2 linked regions of the Alligator mississippiensis genome follow. The protein of the gene in region 1 purifies or fractionates together with the protein of each later gene. This does not show direct contact. Links are inferred from orthologs where the notes say so. Each region holds a gene or a part of one and is shown on either strand. Other genes may lie near its edges.

The links. Proteins that work in one complex are often made in the same cells at the same time.
Region 2: the proteins of E3 ubiquitin-protein ligase TRIM39-like (region 1) and IRF3 purify together in Homo sapiens (affinity purification with western blotting; 3 studies listed by BioGRID, with this or other methods). This does not show direct contact. The link is inferred for Alligator mississippiensis from reciprocal best matches to the Homo sapiens genes TRIM21 and IRF3.

What each region holds. Positions count from the first base shown.
Region 1 is NC_081824.1:485,829,228-485,832,970, reverse strand, and holds the start of E3 ubiquitin-protein ligase TRIM39-like, read right to left. Parts: upstream 2,694-3,743; coding exon 2,669-2,693; intron 2,329-2,668; coding exon 1,799-2,328; intron 1-1,798. UniProt on the Homo sapiens protein: E3 ubiquitin-protein ligase whose activity is dependent on E2 enzymes, UBE2D1, UBE2D2, UBE2E1 and UBE2E2.
Region 2 is NC_081828.1:40,029,468-40,033,210, reverse strand, and holds the start of IRF3 (interferon regulatory factor 3), read right to left. Parts: upstream 2,624-3,743; 5' UTR 2,611-2,623; coding exon 2,316-2,610; intron 1,993-2,315; coding exon 1,817-1,992; intron 1,375-1,816; coding exon 1,285-1,374; intron 1,172-1,284; coding exon 991-1,171; intron 829-990; coding exon 743-828; intron 511-742; coding exon 456-510; intron 191-455; coding exon 143-190; intron 1-142. Other genes in the region: BCL2L12 (bcl-2-like protein 12), read left to right, coding at 3,022-3,335.

The sequences.
Region 1 (3,743 bases):
GTTAACCTTTTGATATGCGACTAGAGCACCTCAATCTAAGTTCCTCACTAGATTTCAGGTAAGTTACTCACATCCATGTCCAGGGAATTCTGGAGGCCCAGAGCATGATTCAGTGACCAGAAGGTGCCTCTCCCCCGCTATACTGGGCGATTTACTCGGGGGGGGGGCTGGGGGCTGGGTGATTTCTCCACACCTTGCACTAGACAAAATGTATTTCTTTTTTAAAATGTTATCTCTTTGGCCAAATTAGTTCTCAATCCTATCAACTAAGCAGAGCTCAATCATTCATGGCCATGTGGTGCTACCACCAGCAAGTACTCTCCCTTGCAGACACTTCAGGTTGGGGCTTCAGATAATGCCAAATCCATGGCAAGCATCCTATGTGCAAGCCACAAGCCCAGAGGCCTTGGAGTTCAGGTGCCCACTAATTTCATTTTTCCAAAAGGCCAAAGGAGCAAGCTAAAGGCAAGCCCAAGAGCTATTCCTCATCAACTTAAGTTTTCTGTTCAAGATCTTATAGTTTCATACCTACTCGGGTCAGAAGGGACCTGAACAGATCATCAAGTCTGACCCCCTGCCCTGGGCAGGAACGAGTGCTGGGATCATAATACCCCAGCCAGATATCTGTCCAACCTCCCTTTGAAGACCCGCAAGGTAGGGGAGAGCCCCACCTCCCTTGGGAGCCCATTCCAGAGTCTGACAGCCCTAACCATAAAGAAATACCTCCTGATATCCAGGCTGAACCTGCTCTCAATCAATTTGTGGCTGTTATTCCTTGCTATCCTGGGTGGTGCCTGAGGGAACAGAGCATCAGCTATTTTCCACTGGTCCCCCCAGTGAGTTTATAGATGGCCACCAGGTCCCCTTTCAGTCTTCTCTTGTGGAGGCTGAATAGATTCAGGCCCTTTAGTCTATCCTTGGAGGGCCTGCCCCGCTGCCCCCTGGTCATGCGAGTGGCCCTTCTCTGGACCCTCTCGATGCTGGCCACATCCCTCCTGAGTTGTGGCGCCCAGAACTGGACGCAGTACTCCAACTGCGGCCTGACCAGTGTCACATAGATGGTGAGGATCACCTCCTTGGCCCTGCTTGTGATGCATCTGTGGATGCATGACAAGAAGGTGCGTTAGCCTTCCTGACTGCTTCCTTGAATTGGTGGCTCATGTTTGTCTTGGAGTCAACAATGACTCCAAGATCTCTTTCAGCAGCTGTGTTGTTGTGAAAGGTATTCCCCAGCCTACCGGTGTGTTGCTGGTTCCTTCTGCCTAGATGCAGCACCTTGCACTTGTCTGCGTTGAACTCCATCCTATTCTCATCCACCCACCTCTGTAACCTGTCTAGATCTAGTTGGGTTCTGTCCCTCCCCTCCCCTCCAGTGTGCCCACCTCGCCCCACATCTTTGTGTCATCACTGAAGTTGGACAGTGTGCTTTCCACGCCCACTCCAAGTCACTGATAAACATGTTGAATAGCACAGGCCCGAGGACCGAGCCCTGGGGAACTCCACTGCCCATATCCCTCCATGACAAAACCGATCTGTCCACCACCCCTCTCTGGGTGCGACCAATGAGCCAATCTTTGCATCGGGAGGCATTTGCAGACTCTCTCAGAGGTCAGCTTGCCTGCAGTGCAAGAGATAGACCTTCAACTCAGCTACACTAAGTCATTCACAGACGAAGAGAAGGGGATTGCCTTTGCCTGATAAGAACAACCACCTGAGCTGAAACCAATCATGGGATGTCTCCTGCCAGGTAAGTGTGTGTCTGTGCAATGGGCTTTCCTAGGTCTTTGGTGTCACCTACCTGGTAATTGTTGGCAGCCTCCTGGATGGGGAGCACTGTGTGACTGTGGTGAGCCAGGGACTCCCTGCAGATCAGACAGATGGCATTTCCATCCTCCTCACAGAAGAGCTTGAGTTTCTCCTCGTGCTCCACACAGTGATTCTCCGTCTGCTCCTTTCCTGGTTTCACACTCTGCTCTTTAATCTTCTCCACCAGGTTTTTGAGCTGAGTGTTGAGCGGGAAGCTCCCTCTCTGAAATTCTGCTCTGCAGCTGGGACAGGGGACAGGGTCATCTGAGTCATCGACACGGTCCTCGCAGTATCGGGTGATGCAGACTTGGCAGAAGTTGTGTCCACAGTTTATGGTCACCGGCTCCTTCAGGAGGTCCAGGCAGATGGAGCAGGTGGCCTCTTCAGCCATGTCCTGTCCTGGAGGGTCTGAGGCTGCACGGCCCCGTCTTCTGCTGATTGTTCTTTGTGCTCTGTGCAGGCTGGGCTTGTCCTGGGTGGTGCCTACCTGAGAACAGAAGGTGATTTCCTCTAAGCGCACTTCTAAGAACAGAGAGGAGGGGCCATGGGGGCAAAGGGACAGCAAAAGGAAGAAGTAACCTGAGTGGACAGAAAGGAGGGATGAGGGCAAGGAACAATAGAGGCAGGGAGGAGAAAGGGAGGGGAGACAGGTTGTTCACAGGCAGGGGGGCAGAGATGAGAAACCACCCCTGACTCACAAACACGCAGGAAACAGTACACTCCATCAGTGCGCTGTGCAGTGCCTTCAACATGATGCAGGATTTTTAAAATTTCAATTTATTTTAATTTCCCATCCTGCAACCAGTGACTCCAAACATGAATTTCCCAGTTGTTGCTCTAATTCTCACCCCTTAAGTCCCACCTGTGCCAGGCCAGCTGCGTGCCATTCTGCCCAGAGGTGGCACAGGTTTGGAGATTGTGCTTAGGACTCACAAGGGCAGAAGATGATCACAGGTTCTCATCAGGCCTGTGGCACAGGGAGCTACGGAGACACCACACAGTCCCTTAGAGCCATCCTGACACTAACGGGGTCCATCAGCCTTCCCAGGCATTACAGAGAGCTGGGTCCAGCATCCACACAAGGGAAGTGAGCCCAGACCTCAGGCCAGTGGGGCAGAAACCAGCCTGTCACAGGGCTGTTCCCTTCATTTCTCCCCCGTCAACCCCTGCATAGCTGTCCTCACCTTATGGGACCTCTGCCAGCTGTGATGCCCAGGACCTGAAGGCATTTGTTATCACCCCAGGGGCACCCCAGCTCTGTGGAAGTGGAGCTATCCGATAGTGCCTACAAGCTGGATGAGGGGTTAGCAATCCTAGCACAGGTTCCAGAGTGTGACACGTAAAGGCATTGTGCTTGGCATGTGTGCCTCAGGGCAGACAGCAGCGAAAGGGCTGGTTTGGCACTGCCACAAGAAGGATTGGGCCCATCATGGCTCCCCGGCCATTTGCCCCTGGCCCACCAGCATCTTACAGGTAGAGTTTGTGGATGTTCTAGCACTCTGCCCAAAAACATTGCTGACCCCTGAGCTAGACAGAGAGCAGCTTCCTGCAGCCTGACAAGCCAGCCAGTAGGTCACACACCAAGATCAGGGATCTCAAACTCCCCACGCACTTGGAGCAGCAGGTGCCCAGAGAAGGAAAGAAGGGTTTGAGGTCCCGTTACTGTAAGGAAAGCTTGATTGTGAACTTGGGGTCAGTTCCTCCACCATGGTACCTGGCATGGCATGGAAACTGCCCCTGTTCGTGCCCTAACCACAGGGTAGATGCAAAGAAGCTTGCTCCATGTTCATGGAAGCACTCAAAACTCACAATAAAGTTGTCTCATCTGCCCCATTTCTGTTTCTGGGCAAAGGGACAGCTGAGCAGTTCACCTGCCAACAAGTACGCAGTGAGTAATAGGCCTTGGATTGATAAGAGTGAGTTCTTGATTAAACTTC
Region 2 (3,743 bases), on another chromosome or scaffold:
AAGGGTAGTTAGGGGGCTACGGGTCAGGAGTGAGTGGCACCGGGAGGGCTGGAGGCAGGGGGGAGCAGAGGGCTGCAGGTTGGGACTGAGGGGCACTAGAAGGGCTGGGCGAGGGCATGGGCTGTTGATCTACTTTACTTACCTACTGCCTCCCCAGGGCCAAACAGTGAGAGATCTGGAGAAGAAATGTCTGGAACAGAGAGAGGTCAGAGGTTGGCAAGAGCCTGGACAGGAGGCCCAGATGCCTGGGTTCTATCCCAGCTCTGGGAGGGGCCTGGGGGGCTACAGCAAGGGTGGAGGGAGGGCTGGGAGCCCAGACACCTGGATTCCAGACAGTCAAACAGTGTCTCTGGATGCTTCTGTGCCAGAGGCAGCTGGTGCTGAGCAGTGTGGGCATGCTGTGCCCCTCACCAAGAGCCCAGTCTTTGCCCCCATGGTCCCAGGGAATCACTCACCCTCCTCTGGGCTGCAGAGGGTCATCAAATGCACGTACTGCTCCAGGTCCGAGTCCTGGTGGTTGGGGCATAATTGGGTGCGTCTTAGAAAAGGTTACCCCCACAATTCAGATGAAGACCCCTTACCCTCTCCTCACTAGCCCCATCCTCCTCCTTTGCAGGCCCCACCCACCTCCTCAAGCCCCTTCCCCAGGTGTTTCCTCCACCCTTAACTTCTTGAATGTCCTCCTCCCCCAACACAGGTCCTGCCCCTACCCCAGGCCGCCCCACTTTCACCAGGCACCCACCGGGCTGCAGCCCTCCCCTAACAGCTGCTCTAGGGGTCCATCGAGAGTGTCAGCCCTCCCTGCCACCAGGGGGGCTTCATCTGCACCTGGGGAGGAGGGAGAACCAAGCTTAAGAGCCAGAACCACAGGCCAGTGCCTCTTACTCCCAACCCGCACCCCACTGCCCCCCTGCCCTACCTGGTGCCCCATTCTCCTGCCCCGCAGCCCCCTGCCACTGTCCTTCACTCCCAAACCTCAGCCCCACTCACCAGCCTGCACCCCCACAGGCAGGATCTCATAGACCTTGTGGGGATCGGTGGCATCAGAGCTGTTGTCCTCGACCACCTTGAACTCAGGTTTCCGGTTCAGGGCCGAGCGGAAATTCCTCTTCCAGATGGAGGGCACAGGGGCAGTACCTGCATGATAGCACCCACTGACAGTGGCCCAGTCCTGGAAAGGAAAGATGTGGCAGGGACAGCAGGGAGACTCCCAACCCACCGGTCCCTGCACCCAGCCCTGGGATCACCTCTAGCCCTGTCAGTGCCCCTCATGCAGCCCCCTACCTCCTCCGCTGCCCCCAGCCCTGCCCTGCCCACAGGGAAGATGCCTGCTAGGAAAGAACCCAGATGTTCGGCCTCCCAGGCCCTCCATACCTAGGCAAGAGACTGAGAAGAAATGAGAGACCCCTCACTCCCCCCTGTTGTGCCCCTCACTCCCACCTGGCAGTCCCCTGCCTCCTCCAGCCCTGCCGATGCCCCTCACTTCCAACCTGCAGCCCCCCGGCCCCCCCCAGCTCTGCCAGTGTCACTCATTCCCAACACCCCAATCCTGCTGGTGCCCCTCGCTCCTGACCTGCAGCCCCTGCCCGCTCCTGACCTGCAGCCCCTGCCCACCCCAGCCCTGGTAATACCCCTCAGTCCTGACCCGCAGCTCCCTGCCACCCCAGCCCTGTCGCTGCTCCTCATTCACAACCCCCCCCCCCCTTGCTGGTGCCCCTCAATGCCAGCCCCCTGTCACCCAAGGTCCTGTCACTGCCCCTCACTCCCAGACACAGCCCTGGTAGGGGTAGCCCATGCAGGGAGTCAGGCACCCTACCTGGAAGAGCTGGAAGTCCTCACGCGCGGCATCATGGCGCAGTCCGTGCTTCCAGGGCACGCGGAACCGGGTGCGTTCGGCATTGAGCCAGCACACACCCGGGTAGCACCCACTGTCCAGCTGTTCCCGCAGCCAGGGCACCAGCAGCGGCCGCTGGGACCCCATGGCAGCAGCGCCTGGAGGAGTGGGGCACAATGGTCAAGGGAGCAGGGGCTGCTCCCCACCCCCTTTTCCCAACAGGGTGTGGCTGGGCCCAATCCTGGCAGGGCATCAAGCAGGAGCTTTCCCCCTCCAAGGAGTCCCGATCCCGCCCCAGTGCTGGTTGGGGGTGGAGCAGGGGAATTCCCCCCTGCGGGCCACCGGGCCTGATCCTGGCTGGGTGCAGGGCGGGGATCCCACGGGCCTTTTTCCTCCAGGGCCCCGATCCCACCCCAGGCAGCGCAGGGAGGTATCCCTTCCTCCCCGCATAAGAAGGTCCTTCCCCCAACCCCATGCCTACCCAGCCCCACCAGGAAGCAGTTCCAAATCCTCGCCTGTGACGTCACATCCCGGAGGGTCACATGACCGAAGTGTTTCTGATTCCCCCTGGAGCGACCCTCCCAAGTTGGGGGTGGGGGTGCAGCCCCCTGCTTGGGGGACCCGTCTCGGGGTGGGGGGTTTCTGACTTGTGGGGGTGAGGGCCATGCCCCAAGAGGGGTGATCGGGGGCTGTTGGAGCTGTGGGGAGTAGGTCACCCCCATAACACGGGACTTAGCCTCACTGAGCGGGGGGCAACCCCCCTGCGGAGTCCCCATAAAAATGGGGGTGGGAGCAGCCCCTGCCCCAGAGAAATAGAGAGAGAGAGAGAGAGAGAGAGAGAGAGAGAGAGAGAGAGATGCGCCTATGCAAATGAGCTGTAAGATCCCACCCAACCCTCATTTGCACAGAGTATTCCTCACCCCTCCCCCCGGTCCTGCGAACCGGCAGAAAGTCACGGGGCGTGGTCTGGGTAGGCCCCGCCCCCTCGCATAGCCACCCCCCCCCGTTTGGCGGAGGAGAGGGTGGGGCGCATGCGCAGTGGCCAGGTCCAGAAGTTTGAGTCCCCTTTTGGATGTAGGGGGGAACGCAGGTCCCGGCCGCTGCGGAGCTTTCCCCCCCCCCCCCTCGGGCAGGGTGAGGGGCGGCGGGGGGGACTTGGGGGCAGCTGGGTTAGGGACATTGCCCCCATGCACTGCCACTCCAAGCAAGGCTCCCAGCTCTGCTCCCCTAGGTGTCCCGGGACACCTGGGTTCAGTGGGTCCCCCCCAGGTGCTCCCGCACGGGGACACGGGCAGGCCCCTTGTGCTCCCGTGCTCAGCCCTGCCTGCTCCCCCCCCACAGGCTGGGCCATGGCGGGGGCCCCAGCGCCACCCCGTCCGCGGTGCCGAGTGCAGGCCGAAACCCGGCTGGTGCTGGAGGCATTTCTGCAGGGCCGGGGAGGCGCGGGGGCCCCCGGGCATGTGGGGCGCAGCTACCACGACCCCCAGCGCTACGCACACAGGTGAGGGGACACGGGGGGGGGGTCTGGGGCCGGGGCTAGGAAACCTCGGGGGTCTTTAGAGGCGGGTGATGGAGGGCAAACCCAGGAGCCGGGCAGGGGACTGTGGGGGGTGGAACTATGGTATAGGGGGCTCTGCAGGGAGTGTATTATGGGGGGCTCTACAGGGGCTGGGACCCTAGAGGCACCTTGGTGGTGGGTGAGGGGGGCTCTGAGCAGATCTGCAGGGGCAGGGGGGACCCTAGGAGCATCCACAGCAGTCTGAGGGGGGGCCCATGGGTATGCACTGAGGTTGGGGGAGTGGAGGAAGCCCTACAGGTATAGGGGTATATGGGGTAGCTGGGGGGGGGGGCACAGAGTTATGGGGGTGTATACGAGTAGCTATGGGGCACAGGGCTGTGTGGGTGTGTA